Linked DNA regions of Macaca mulatta. The protein of the gene in region 3 interacts with the protein of the main gene of each other region in a pairwise test. Links are inferred from orthologs where the notes say so. Each region holds a gene or a part of one and is shown on either strand. Other genes may lie near its edges.

Region 1 (4,658 bases), on a different chromosome or scaffold from region 3:
ATTTCTTCTTTTTAAACAATTTTTCAGCATCAGAAGAGCTAACAATTGCTGGAATGACCTTTACAACTTTTGATCTTGGTGGGCATGAGCAAGGTAAGCGATGACTCAGTGGAAAGCATGTTTATTGACTTATGATTCTTTTTGTGCCCCCCAGCACCCTTTAAAAGCAATGTGTCGTTTTTACCTTTTAAATTACACTTTAGAATTAGGATCTTACTACTTTAGTGAAGTTGTTTTATTCATTTTTTTTAAACTCATTTCAAACTTGTCTAAAGTTGCGTTAAATACACAGAAGTCCACTTCAATATTACCCTATTGAGCTAGTATAAAGTTAGCTATAATGCATAACTATTCATGAACTTTTAAGTATTTGCCTGATAAAGCCAAACTCAACTCAAATCTTGACTGAAAATTTTTACAAAGCAGGACAGCATCTTGCCATTTTAATCTTTACTAGGTTTTTACTTATTAACGCAATTTACCTGGTAACTAGAAAATACGTTAAAAGATATAGGTATTGCCTCAACAAGAGTAATTATTTCATCATTTTAACTAGGCTTGCTCTAAGCCAGTGTATTTTCTTCTATACCTTTTGCCCAAATTTGTTAGTCTCCTCCTCCCTACATAATACATATTAATACTTACTTTTTATTAACTGTTTGTGAGCATATCATGCCCCTTTACTCTTTTATACTTTAGTGCCGTTTTCTAAGAACAAAGATATCTCCTTGTATATAATCATAATAGTTATCAAATCAAGAAAGTTTTATTTTTATCCAATCTGTATTTCCTTTTTTTTTCTTTTTTTTGGTCAGTTGTCCTGATAATCTCTTTTATACCATTTTTTCATCTTGACCAGGTATACAGTATCATATATTTAGTTATCAAGCATTTTTGCATCCTTTATTCAATGGAGTGAAAGTATGTAGGAAATTTAACTTAAATATTTGTAAGTAATTTCAGACTTGTCAAAAGTTGCAAAAGTAGTACAGTGACTATGTGTGATTACTCTAAGTTGATATTTTGTATATTCTATCCATTTGGGACAGTTGGTAGAACATTTCCTTCTACCTTTTTGCTTTCCTTAGAAGTGCTTTTTGCCTACTCAGGCTATGTCTTTGGCTACCAGATTCCTATCAGGTGTTTAGAGACATACAGGATGGGCGTCTTTGTCTAATGGGCACTCAGTTCACATTTGACAAGACAGTAGGTATAGGAGTAAAACATTTAAGATGTGAGAATAAACATTCTGGGAAGGTAGGGAAAAGGAACTATTGAGATTCTGTCAGATTTACTTACTTGTTACTACATTGAGTGGAGAAATCTCATTTTGAAACATTAGGTTGAGCTAATACCATTTTTTTTTCTTTTTTTTGAGATGGGGTCTTGCTCTGTTGCCCAGACTGGAGTGCAGTGGCATAGTCTTGGCATACTGCAACCTCTACTTCCTGGGCTTAAGCAATCCTCCCACCTATTTTTTGTAGAGACTGGGTTTCTGCCATGTTGCCCAGGCTGGTCTTGAACTCCTGAGCTCAAGCAATCCACCTGCCTTGGCCTCCCAAAGTGCTGGGATTATGGGCGTGAGCCATTGTGCCCAGCCTAATACAGTTTTTTGTTTTTTTTTTTTTTTTTTTGAGACAGAGTCTCACTGTGTCTCCCAGGCTGGAGTGCAGTGGCGTGATCTCGGCTCACTGCAAGCTCCGCCTCCTGGGTTCACGCCATTCTCCCGCCTCAGCCTCCCAAGTAGCTGAGACTACAGGCGCCCGCCACCACGCCCGGCTAGTTTTTTGTATTTTAGTAGAGACGGGGTTTCACCATGTTAGCCAGGATAGTCTCGATCTCCTGACCTCGTGATCCACCCGCCTCGGCCTCCCAAAGTGCTGGGATTACAGGCTTGAGCCACCGCGCCCGGCCCTAATACAGTTTTAAAACAATGTGTAGTAAAATACAACATTGGTCATTTCTAGTAGTTAAGCCTAATAATTTTATAGTCAGTTATTTCATTAACATATAATTACATTTTAATTAATTTATTTAATATTTATGCCCTAAAAAATCATGTATATTATGATCATAATCACATAAAATACCAGTAAAGAAAAAAGACTGGAAGAAAATACCAAAATATTGACAAGGGGTGTGTTTTGATGGAGGGATTAGAAATGATTTTGTTTCCTTTTTTATGTAAGGAGCTTGTATTTTTTTTCATTTGGGTAAGAATGGGTATATGGTGTCCTTTCTGCTTTTCCACAAAAGGATTTGTAACTGCTTACAAATTTAAATTCAGAGCAAGATACGACTGAACCTAGACCATCTGGAGAATGCAGAAGGAACAGACACCAGATGGTTTTATATACCTGAACTGGGAATTGTTGATTGTTTGGTGTGATAAATTTAGGTTTCAGGTTTTGTTAAAATAAGAAGGGAAATGTATTGATGTATTTAGTTTTGTTTCTTTGACTGAGGAAAATCTACTAAACAGAAACACTTTTACCTAATAACCTAGCCACCATTTTATAGAAGTTACTAAAATACTGTACATCTGGAGGTTCCTTTTTTTTTTTGTATAACTTAAAAATTTTAACTTATAAAAGGAGAGCAGATTTGATATAACAAAATCGGTATAGAACTACAGAAAGTAAAATGGAAAGTTCCTTCAACCTCTTTTTCCTAACTCTACTCTTTAAAGGTAACCATTAATAACTGATGTAGAGATGCTTCGTTATTCATTCTATTGCAAGGGCTAGAAATGAATGGCTTAGAAATGATAGTAAAATTAAATCACTGCTTCCCAGCCTTTATCGTTTCATGTCACAAGCAAAAAACAAGTAATATTTCTAAGGCATGCTGGGTTAAATATGGTAGGCTGAGATAACTGGCCTGGGGCCTTGAACCACTTGTCAGGCCCAGTCTCCCTAAGGGCTAAGCAGAGGAGTGTGTCAAGACACCTACACACAAGTTGGCTAGAAACTAACTGGGACTAAAGTTACATGGACAAGTAATTTGTATCCTGATGTTTTAACTCAGAGGTTGCAAATTCAACTTGGCTCCAGGGGCAAGGCAAGTCATTTAAGTGAGTAAAATTGGCTGACTGTAAGACAGCAGGGACATTTTGTCAAGCAAAAGTGTTCAGACATCATCTGAAGGGGTAGCCACTGCTTAGTTCCTGCTGATAGTTGTCATGTGGATAAGTAGGCATGGGGTTGCCAGATGTTGCAGTTTTTCAAGAAAGGTGGAAACTCTGATTTTCAAATTTACAAAAATCAAGTTCAACTCGTGGACCATTAGTTTGCATCCTCTGTTCTAAATTAATACTGGCCAGAACTTGGAGAAATCCATAGAGTCTAATCTTACTGAAACCTGACCAAGATTTGTCCATTTTAAGACCATTAGGTTATTCATTTTTACAATGTATATTTTTTACTGATGCAACTACAAACTTTGTTTTTTAGCACGTCGGGTTTGGAAAAATTATCTCCCAGCAATTAATGGGATTGTCTTTCTGGTGGACTGTGCAGATCATTCTCGCCTCGTGGAATCCAAAGTTGAGCTTAATGTATGTTTATATACTTTGTCCTTTTTTGGCCTCTATTTTTTTTTTTTTAAGAAATATAGCTCAGTAGTGCCAATAATTAGTAATTCCAGTTAACATTTGGCAAAAAGACCTAGTTGCAGGAGGAAAATGTTTTAAATCTAAGACATTGCTTTTCAATGTCCTGAGGAAACTCAGCTCAAACTTGAATAAATTAACTGTTTTTTCTATCATACAGTGACTATATGGCCAAGTTTGCTCAGGATACTCCTCATTTATGCCTGTTGTCCCAGCATAATTAATTAATTAATAGTATTCCATTTCACGTGTCATCATGAACAGTAATTTTTTTTTTTTTTTTTTGAGACAGAGTGTCTCTCTGTTGCCTGGCCTGGAGTGCAGTGGCGCAGTCTCAGCTCACTATAACCTCCACCTCCTGGGTTTGAGGGATTCTCCTGCCTCAGCCTACTGAGTGGCCTCCTGGGACTACAGGCACGTGCCACCACGCCTGGCTAATTTTTTGTATTTTTAGTAGCGACGGGGTTTCACCGTGTTAGCCAGGATGGTCTTGATTTCCTGACGTCATGATCCACCCTCCTTGGCCTCCCAAAGTGCTGGGATTACAGGCATGAGCCACCACGCCTGGCCCACGAACAGTAATTCTTTATAAGTAGTGTTGGCACAGTGAAAGCCTAAAAGCAATATTAGAGTTCTTTACATTTTTGAATCTGCATTCTCAGCTTGTGCCTACCCACCCTCCCACTGAATGACTTGCCAGACCTTCATGGTCTGTTCTCAGCCTTCAGTTTTGGTTGCATACATCCTTTGATACTATCAAGGACTTACTTCAAGTTTTCTCCTTTGTCCACATTGCATTTTCTCTTGGCTTGATGGTTTCTATACTATTGGCTTTATTATCCCTACTCCTTTACCCTATATCTTTTCTTTCTCTTTGATCTGTAACTCCTTGGATTCTTGTTCCTGGCAATTTGAACCTGTCTTGAATTTATTTCTAAGTATGTTTCTCACATCTATAGCTCCAGCCTCATGTAGAATTGCCTGCCACGCAATCTTTACCTTGCCTTTTTTTTTTTTTAAAATAAAAAAAAACAGTCTTCCTCTGTTG
Region 2 (3,827 bases), on a different chromosome or scaffold from region 3:
CCTCACCCTCGGCCGCCTGCAAAGTCTGCAAGAGCTGGCGCGCTTCCTCCTCCTCCTCTTCGGTCGCCGCCGCCGCCGCCGCCACCGCCTCCCCCCCGGCCGCCGGCCCCGCGCTCGGCTCCGCAGGCAAGGTAGCCATGTTTTGCAACTTTGGGAAGTTCCTCCCTCCTTCTCTTCCTCCCTTGGGCTTTCCCCAGCCCCCTCCCCCGCCTGTTCCCCCTTTTCGCCCCCACTCCCCGCTGTTCTCGATCTTCTCCCTGGCCGACTGCGCCCCACGCCGGGAAGGCGAGACCCGGGTCTCTGTCCCCGTGTGTGTGTCCGTTCCCCTCCCGTCTGTCTGTGATTCTCCCTTTGTTTTCCCTCCGCCTCTGGCCGCGCTTTCTGCCTCCCCCCCAGCGTGTGCTTCTGGCTCAGGGCCTCAGTTTCCCCATCGGGACAATGCAGAAGGTAACGGGCCGTCCAGGAGGGCTAAGGGCGCGAAGCCTCCGCCCCGAGACTGAGCTTCTGCACGCCTCCGTCTCCAGGGTCCTCTGCAGGCCCCCACATTCCCCATCTCGGCCTGCGCTCCGCCCCTCGGAATTCCCGGCTCCGCGGGGGGGCGGGTCTGGCCTGGAGGAGGGGCGGGGAACGGGCTAGAAAGTTTGCAGCAACTTTTCTCGAGCTTGCGTCCCCGGAGCGGATGCGCGTGGCGTGCGCAGGCGCAGTGGAAGGAGGATGGCCGCGCGCTGCCAGCCCATCCCCCCTCTTCTCGACGCTCAGTGGCACAGCTGGGCCACAGCTGGGCCGGGGCGGTGCCTCCGGGTGGCCCATTCGCCCTCCTATTGGCCGGACGCCAAGGCCCCGCCCCGTAGCTTTCCCTCCCCCAACCTTGATTCGTCCGCTTCGCATCCCGCTAGCTCCTCCCAGACCTTCGGCCGCCTCCACTCGCCTTCGGATTGGCCCGCTCCGCAACCTCCTGCCCACTACGCAAACCGCGGACTGCGGAGTCCAGAACTTTGGGCAGATGGAGGGCCTTTTATTCGCGAGGGTCGGGGGTGGGGTCCTAGGTGGGGACAGACAATAAATACCGAGGAATATCGGGGTCTCAGTGCATCCAAAACGTGGATTGGGGTGTTCGGGGTCCTGCAGCCTGTCAGCGAGTCGGAGGACGAGGTCAATAAATATCCAAACCGCCGAAGCAGTCAGAGCCGGCTCGGGCTCCGAGAGCAGCGCACGTGAGGAGGGGGGCGCGGGATCCCCGAATAAGCGGGTTTGGCAAAAGCAAATTTCCCGAGTAAGCGGGCAGAGGTCGCGCCAGACGCTCCCCAGAGAGCAGGGCGTCATGCACAAGGGAGGATTTGCAGTTTGCGAACCGACGGTAGGTGGGGGTGCGTGGAAAGTGGAACACGGACGACCCGGCTTGCTGCCTTCGCAGGCCTGTCGTTTGCCCATCCACGTCAGGGCCTCAGCCTGGCCGAAAGAAGTGGTCTGCGATCCCCCACCAGCAGCAGCAGCAGCAGCATTCCCGGCTACAAGGCCCCCTCGAGCCCCGTTCGCCGGCCGCGAACCCGGCCCCTCCCTCCCCAGCCGCTAGGGGGCGGGCCTGGATCACAGGACTGGAGCTGGGCGGAGACCCAAGCTCGGAGCGGTGTGAACTGGCAGGCGGTGGGCGCGGCTTCTTTGCCGTGCCCCGGGCGCTCAGTCTTTCAACGGGGCCCCGGAGTCGAAGACAGTTCTAGGGTTCAGGGAGCGCGAGCGGCTCCCGGGCGACGCCAGACTGCGGTGAGTTGGCCGGCGTGGACCACCAACCCAGCGCAGCCCAGGGCGGCGGCACGAGACAGAGCAACGGCGAACAGGAGCAGGGAAAGCGCCTCCGATAGGCCAGGCCTAGGGACCTGCGGGGAGAGGGCGAGGTTAACACCCGGCATGGGCCTCTGATTGGCTCCTGGGACTCGCCCCGCCTACGCCCATAGGTGGGCCCGCACGCCTCCCTGCTCCCCACCCCCGCCCCAACAGCCGGCAGCTGTTAGTCCACTCGCACGCCTCTAATCCCGTCTGAACTCGTCATTGGCTGCTTCTTAGCGGCCTGTGTTGATTGGCTCCCCGCGGATCCGCCCTCCCGCCGTGGGCCCAGCCCTGCAAATGCGCAGCTAAGCGGGTGGCACAGGGCGGGTGGAGCGAGGGGCGCGGCGGCGGAGGGGGGCGTGGGCAGCCGGACGTACCCTGGCAGGGAGCAGCAGGTGGCGGCGGTGCATGGGGCCTGGCCCCACCAGCGGGCACTGGCCCAGAGCCACGGCCGGGGGGCCATCTAGCTGGAGAGAGAAGGGACAGGTGACCCGATCGGAGCCCAGCCCAGCCCTCAGCAGTGGGGCGAGAGAGAGCGAGGGGAATCGAGGCCGGGGAGGTTATCTAGGGAGATCCCGGAGGGAATCTGGTGAGCCTTGAACGGAGGGAGATCTGGGGCTGAACGAAGGGCATCTGTCCTCCAAAGTTGCAAAGACGTAGGGTGAGCCCTGTATCTGGACGGGGAGACCAGGAGCCAGGGAGGGGATCTGTAGAGTGGGCAGCAGGTCTGAGGCAGGGGAAAGAGAGGGGTCTTACATGGGAAGGTGGATCCGTGGCCCGGGGACTGGGGACCCCCGTGACAGCTGGAAGGAGAAGAAAGAGGCATAGGGCGCGTGGAGGGGCGAAGGAGGGCGGTGGCGCGGCGTGCCCCAGCATGGGTCCCTTCCCTCCTCCAGGTGTCTATACGTGCCCCGCAGAGCAGACGGCCCACCTCCTCCCGGCCCTTCGGGGAAGGGGACACATGAGGGACTCGCCTGTGGCTCCCTCTGCCCGCAGCAACTCCATCCGCTCCTGCAACTGCCGTACGTGCGCCTCTAGGTCCCGGTTCCGAGCCTCTGCCTCGCGTAGTTGACTGTGGGGAGGTAAGGACAGTGAGTCCGTCCGAGTCGGACGAGAGGGGCTGCCAAGGGTTGCCATGGGCCCTGCGCCCCGGCCCCAACGCCGACCTGGCAAAGTTCTGGTTGGCCATGCGGATGGCCTCCATCTCCCGGCTCAGGCTCTGCCGGGTGAGCACCTCCTCCTCCAGGGCCTCCTGGAGCTCCCGCAGCGTCACCTCGGCCTCAGCCTCTGCCGCAGGGATAGCCGCTGGAACTGCCACTTCAGCCTGTGTATGGGGACCGGGCTTAAGGCTGCCTGTGGCTCCTGGAGGACTCAGAACTTGGGCACTGGTTCCAGGCTAGGGATCCTTGCTTGTCTCCTACTTCTCCGTCCCCTCAAAATTTCTGGAATCCCCACAGCTCCTGCAATGATCCAAGCCCCCTCCCTTCCCTACCTCCCTCAGCCCCTTCTCTGAGTCTGGTCCTCGAAATCCACACAGGGACCAGAGAGCTGGTCCTCAAACACGAACACAACCTATGTCCCTCTGCTGCTCAAAATCCCTCCAGCTCCCTAATGCCCTCACGACAAAAGGCCTTGCTGGGTTTTGTTGCCTGCTGGCCTCTCCAGCATTCTCAGGAACGGTTCAGCCAAACAGGAACAAATCAGGATATCAGGATTCCCACCTGCTCAAGGCCTTTGCCCTTGAGGCTCTCGCCTGACCACCTGGCACCTTTCTTTCCATGGCTGGCTTCTCCTTCAGGAGCGTTCAGCTCAAAGTTCAACTCCTCAGATCCCCACCAACGCACACAGCCTTACTTAATGCCCCACTGTAACTACAGAGACCGTGTCATGTCTGAAGTAACCTGGTCTGTCCGTGGTTTCTGTCTGCTTCTGTTCAGGAAGTCCCCAGAGGGCTCTACAGCACACGCCACCCGGGAAGCCCTCACCTTTTCTCTCCTGCTTGC
Region 3 (3,697 bases):
TTCCTCTTACCATCAAAGGTTAAAAAACAAAAAGAAAAAACAAAACCTAATAATTGCAAGTGCCCTGAGCAGAATATATGGAAGATTAAGCAAGTTCTCTGAACAGAAACGTTTAAAAAATACAGCACTAAATAAGCAGTATGACTGCAAGAATGAACCCACCCAGCTCTCTGCAAGCATGCTGAGAGGGTAATGAAATTCGAGGAAAGTCAAGAAACTATTCTAGCTATTCTAAACCTATTCAAATGTTTTTGGTACACCCCAGAAAATGGTTTACAAAAATCATTAGTCCTGGTGAGCCTTAAATGTAAATGAATACTAGACAGCCAAAATGTGGGTTGATACCAGATTTTTTTTTTTTTAATTTGTGAAATGAAGGAAGTACTATTTTCAATGGGGTAAAAGAAAAATCAGGTATTTGTTTAGGTTAGTTGCAGCCATCCAAGTAAGAATATTTAAAAATTTCTCCCTACTTATAAAACTGTTTTTTTAAAGCACTTTAAAGATGCATTCAAAACCCACAAATGATATTTCAGATCTCTGGGAATGAAAGGTTTAAAAACTATGAAATACCCTTTCTGGGTTTGTACCAAACATTAAATCTTGATTTGATTTTGAATAGAAAAAAAAAAGTCATTCTGAAAATAACATTAATAACAACAATAATAAAATAATTGTTTAAAACAAAATCTTGCTCACATATATAAATGTCTTTATGGAAAACTCTCTCAATGAATCTGAAGAAAATTCTCAGAGTTTCTAAGAGCCTGCTAAGACCTGGCTTTTTGTGACAGATGTGGTAAAAAGACCAAAATGAATTTTCAAAGGAACATAACCTTATAAAATGGCCTAGAGTTTAGGCAGGTTAGAAAGAAATTTTGCTACATTTATTTATGCTCGTTCAGTCCCCCAAACCTTTCCCACAATGTTATTGGATAAAAACTGCAGGAATATCACACAAATTATAAACTCAATATGTGCAAATCGCAAGGTTCTTTAAAAGTTCATCTTAAAAAGAAAAACACTGGACAAAAATGAGTATTCTCTTCTCCATCCCTTTTCTCTCAGTTTCTCTGCCAACTCTGCATATGCCTTGAACTGATTCTCAGACATCAAAGTGAAAAGTGCCTCCCGTCAGGTAGTACTTGGTGGTCATTTATTGTCACATACTAGTTCATAATTCACATTCATCCCTTTAAACCACATTGAAACTTTCAATATCTTGCTCTTCAGCAATTCTGCAGAGCTGAAATGTAGTTACAGTGTTGAAAAAAAGAAAGCAACTTAGTTTTTTTTGTTTTTTTGTTTTTTGTTTTTCCCCAAAGAGTTTAAAGTGAGATACAGTACTTGTTGAATGAGAGACCAAGATGCTTGGTAATAAAGTGTGAACAGTATTTTTAAATGCTTAAAGATAGTAATATATGCTCATCTTCAAAATCTAATTCCTCATGTCACACTGGAATCTGAAAAAAAAAAAAAAGTGGCACCCGAGTTGTCCATAGTCATGAACTATAAACAGTACTAGAGTTCAAAGACAAAAAGATTTTGCAAACTCAACGTGAAGAGCTTCTGTGGCTCTCACTGAAGGGCAGTTTGCATCTACCTCTTGGGAGTGAAGTCAATGCAATAACCTGATTGGTTTACCTAACACTGCACAGAAACCAGCGTGGGTGTTCGCTCTCTCCCCTGCCCCCACCCCCAACCCCCCTTACCCCATGTGGGGCCATGACAGCAGGGGCTTCCCTGTCCACCACAACACCCCGGTGACATCGCTGCACTAGTAAAAAGCAGAAATGAAATCCCGCATGTGGCAGTTGCTCTTTAAAAAAAAAAAATATATCAGTGCAGTCAGGCCCCATAGGGGGAAATATATATCTATACAATTAAAAGTTGCTTTTATTGTAAAACAGGTTGGAGAGAAAAATGTTCTTTTAAATGGTTAACTTTCCAAATCTGCCGTCTGACGCGCCTCCGCGATGCCCTGAAGCTGGGTTCCTGATGTTGATTTTGCACATGGGAACCCCAGGAGGACACTGCTCTGAACACCCCGTCCCATGCCGATAGCAAGAGAGTGAGGCAGAGGGAGGCAGAGAAAAAGAGACCCTCACTCGCCGCCACAGCGCCTGTGCACCCCCACATGCATGCACCCCTGCACCCCTGCAGGACCCTTCCCACGGGACTTTTCTCCTGACACTAGCGGGAGTCAGCGCCCCTGGCTGCTTCTGGGCCGCTACAGAAAGCAGGCGCTGTGGAGCCCGGTTCCTTTCTTCCCCGGGGATGCGTGGAGCCCTGACCGCTCCTGCTGTGCCCTTCCTCCCGCCCGCTCACTGACAGACACTCGTGGAAAAAGCATATGCACCAGTCTCCTGCGACACACCTGCTGTAACTCTAATGACAAGGTTAGAACAGAAACCTAAAATAAGAGGATAACATGTAAATACTGTGTTATTTAGCCTACAGTACAGTAATCTGGATACAAATGATAAGGGAGAGCCACGTTTCCTTTCCCCCACGCTGCCTCTACTTGCCTACATTAGACCGGCCTTCAATGCAAATCTTAACCTCCTGAGGAATTAGAGAAGGCTTAGGAAGAGTCAAAGGTGGTTCGTCTTCTGACTTCTCCAGTTTGCGGCTCTCCGGCGCCGACCACCTCCTCTTCCTCGTGGCCGCGGGCTTGCTGGGTTCTATTTTGGTGAGGAAGGGCGCTGCAGGCAATCCCATTTTCTCTGGAAACTTCAGTTCGCCATTCTCAGAGAGCATCTGGGCACTCCCCTGGTTGATTCCGTTTTCCTGCTCGGCATACCTGTGTCTGCTGCCCGCCAGGCCGTCGGCCTTTGAGTGCTTCAGCAGGACGCTGGCGGGATCCACGGGCTGGCCCTTTTTAACAGAGCCGTTCTTCAGGTTCTTGAGGGTAAGCGAGATGCACACATCCCCAACTGAGAGTTTGGAACACGGCAAATCAAAGAGCTGGCTGGTTCTCTCCGGACAGCAGGATGACCAGCCCTGTCCAAACACAAAAAAAGGATACTCTACCAAAACTTCAACGCTGACCTGTGGAAACAGGGAGAGACAGAGAGAGGAAGGGGACAAATGAAAACATTTTATTCTTGTTTGATTTTATGCGCACACACACGTATGAACTCACACATACACACATAGACACACACAGGCCGAATGGGGGAAAAATGACTCAGTTTGCAAACCTCCCTCTCCCCCAGTCACACCCTATAAATGAGGCTCTTCAGTTTGGGTTGTACCTGTACTTACCATAGACAGAAGCCAGTGAAAAGACCATCAATATTCAAAATATTCCACCAAGTGTTAGCTCTATAGCTGGTCTCTGTTAGAACCAGTCAATCAAACCCCAGCAATGACAGAACACCCACTTAGCTTTCAGCACCGAGCTAGGCTCTGCGGGTGGCTCAGAAGCCCAGCATGGTCTTAGATTTTATGAGCTCAATGGACAGCTGTTATTATCATACAGGACACGACTAAACAGGGATCAGAGTGAGACTGTAGGTGAGTTCCAAGAGGCAGGCATGATGTGTTTATCATTGAGTCCCCAGCCCCTGAAAGGATGCTTGGTGGCAGGGCACAGTGGCTCATGCCTGTAATCCCAGCACTTTGGGAGGCCAAGGTGGGTGGATCACTTGAGGTCAGGAGTTCAAGACCAGCCTGGCCAACATGGCGAAACCCT

The links.
Region 1: the proteins of ATXN1 (region 3) and SAR1A interact in binary tests that used the Homo sapiens proteins (3 or more experiments, as listed by UniProt). The link is inferred for Macaca mulatta from reciprocal best matches to the Homo sapiens genes ATXN1 and SAR1A.
Region 2: the proteins of ATXN1 (region 3) and DMPK interact in binary tests that used the Homo sapiens proteins (3 or more experiments, as listed by UniProt). The link is inferred for Macaca mulatta from reciprocal best matches to the Homo sapiens genes ATXN1 and DMPK.

Annotation. Positions count from the first base shown.
Region 1 is NC_133414.1:79,473,171-79,477,828, forward strand, and holds part of SAR1A (small COPII coat GTPase SAR1A), read left to right. Parts: intron 1-27; coding exon 28-93; intron 94-3,452; coding exon 3,453-3,556; intron 3,557-4,658. UniProt on the Homo sapiens protein: Small GTPase that cycles between an active GTP-bound and an inactive GDP-bound state and mainly functions in vesicle-mediated endoplasmic reticulum (ER) to Golgi transport.
Region 2 is NC_133424.1:58,320,736-58,324,562, forward strand, and holds the end of DMPK (myotonin-protein kinase), read right to left. Parts: intron 3,149-3,827; coding exon 2,991-3,148; intron 2,897-2,990; coding exon 2,799-2,896; intron 2,628-2,798; coding exon 2,581-2,627; intron 2,292-2,580; coding exon 2,202-2,291; intron 1,875-2,201; coding exon 1,722-1,874; coding exon of another isoform or gene 1,715-1,721; 3' UTR 998-1,714; downstream 1-997. Other genes in the region: homeobox protein SIX5, read right to left, coding at 1-139. UniProt on the Homo sapiens protein: Non-receptor serine/threonine protein kinase which is necessary for the maintenance of skeletal muscle structure and function.
Region 3 is NC_133409.1:166,776,983-166,780,679, reverse strand, and holds the end of ATXN1 (ataxin-1), read right to left. Parts: intron 3,052-3,697; coding exon 2,521-3,051; 3' UTR 869-2,520; downstream 1-868. UniProt on the Homo sapiens protein: Chromatin-binding factor that repress Notch signaling in the absence of Notch intracellular domain by acting as a CBF1 corepressor. Binds to the HEY promoter and might assist, along with NCOR2, RBPJ-mediated repression. Binds RNA in vitro.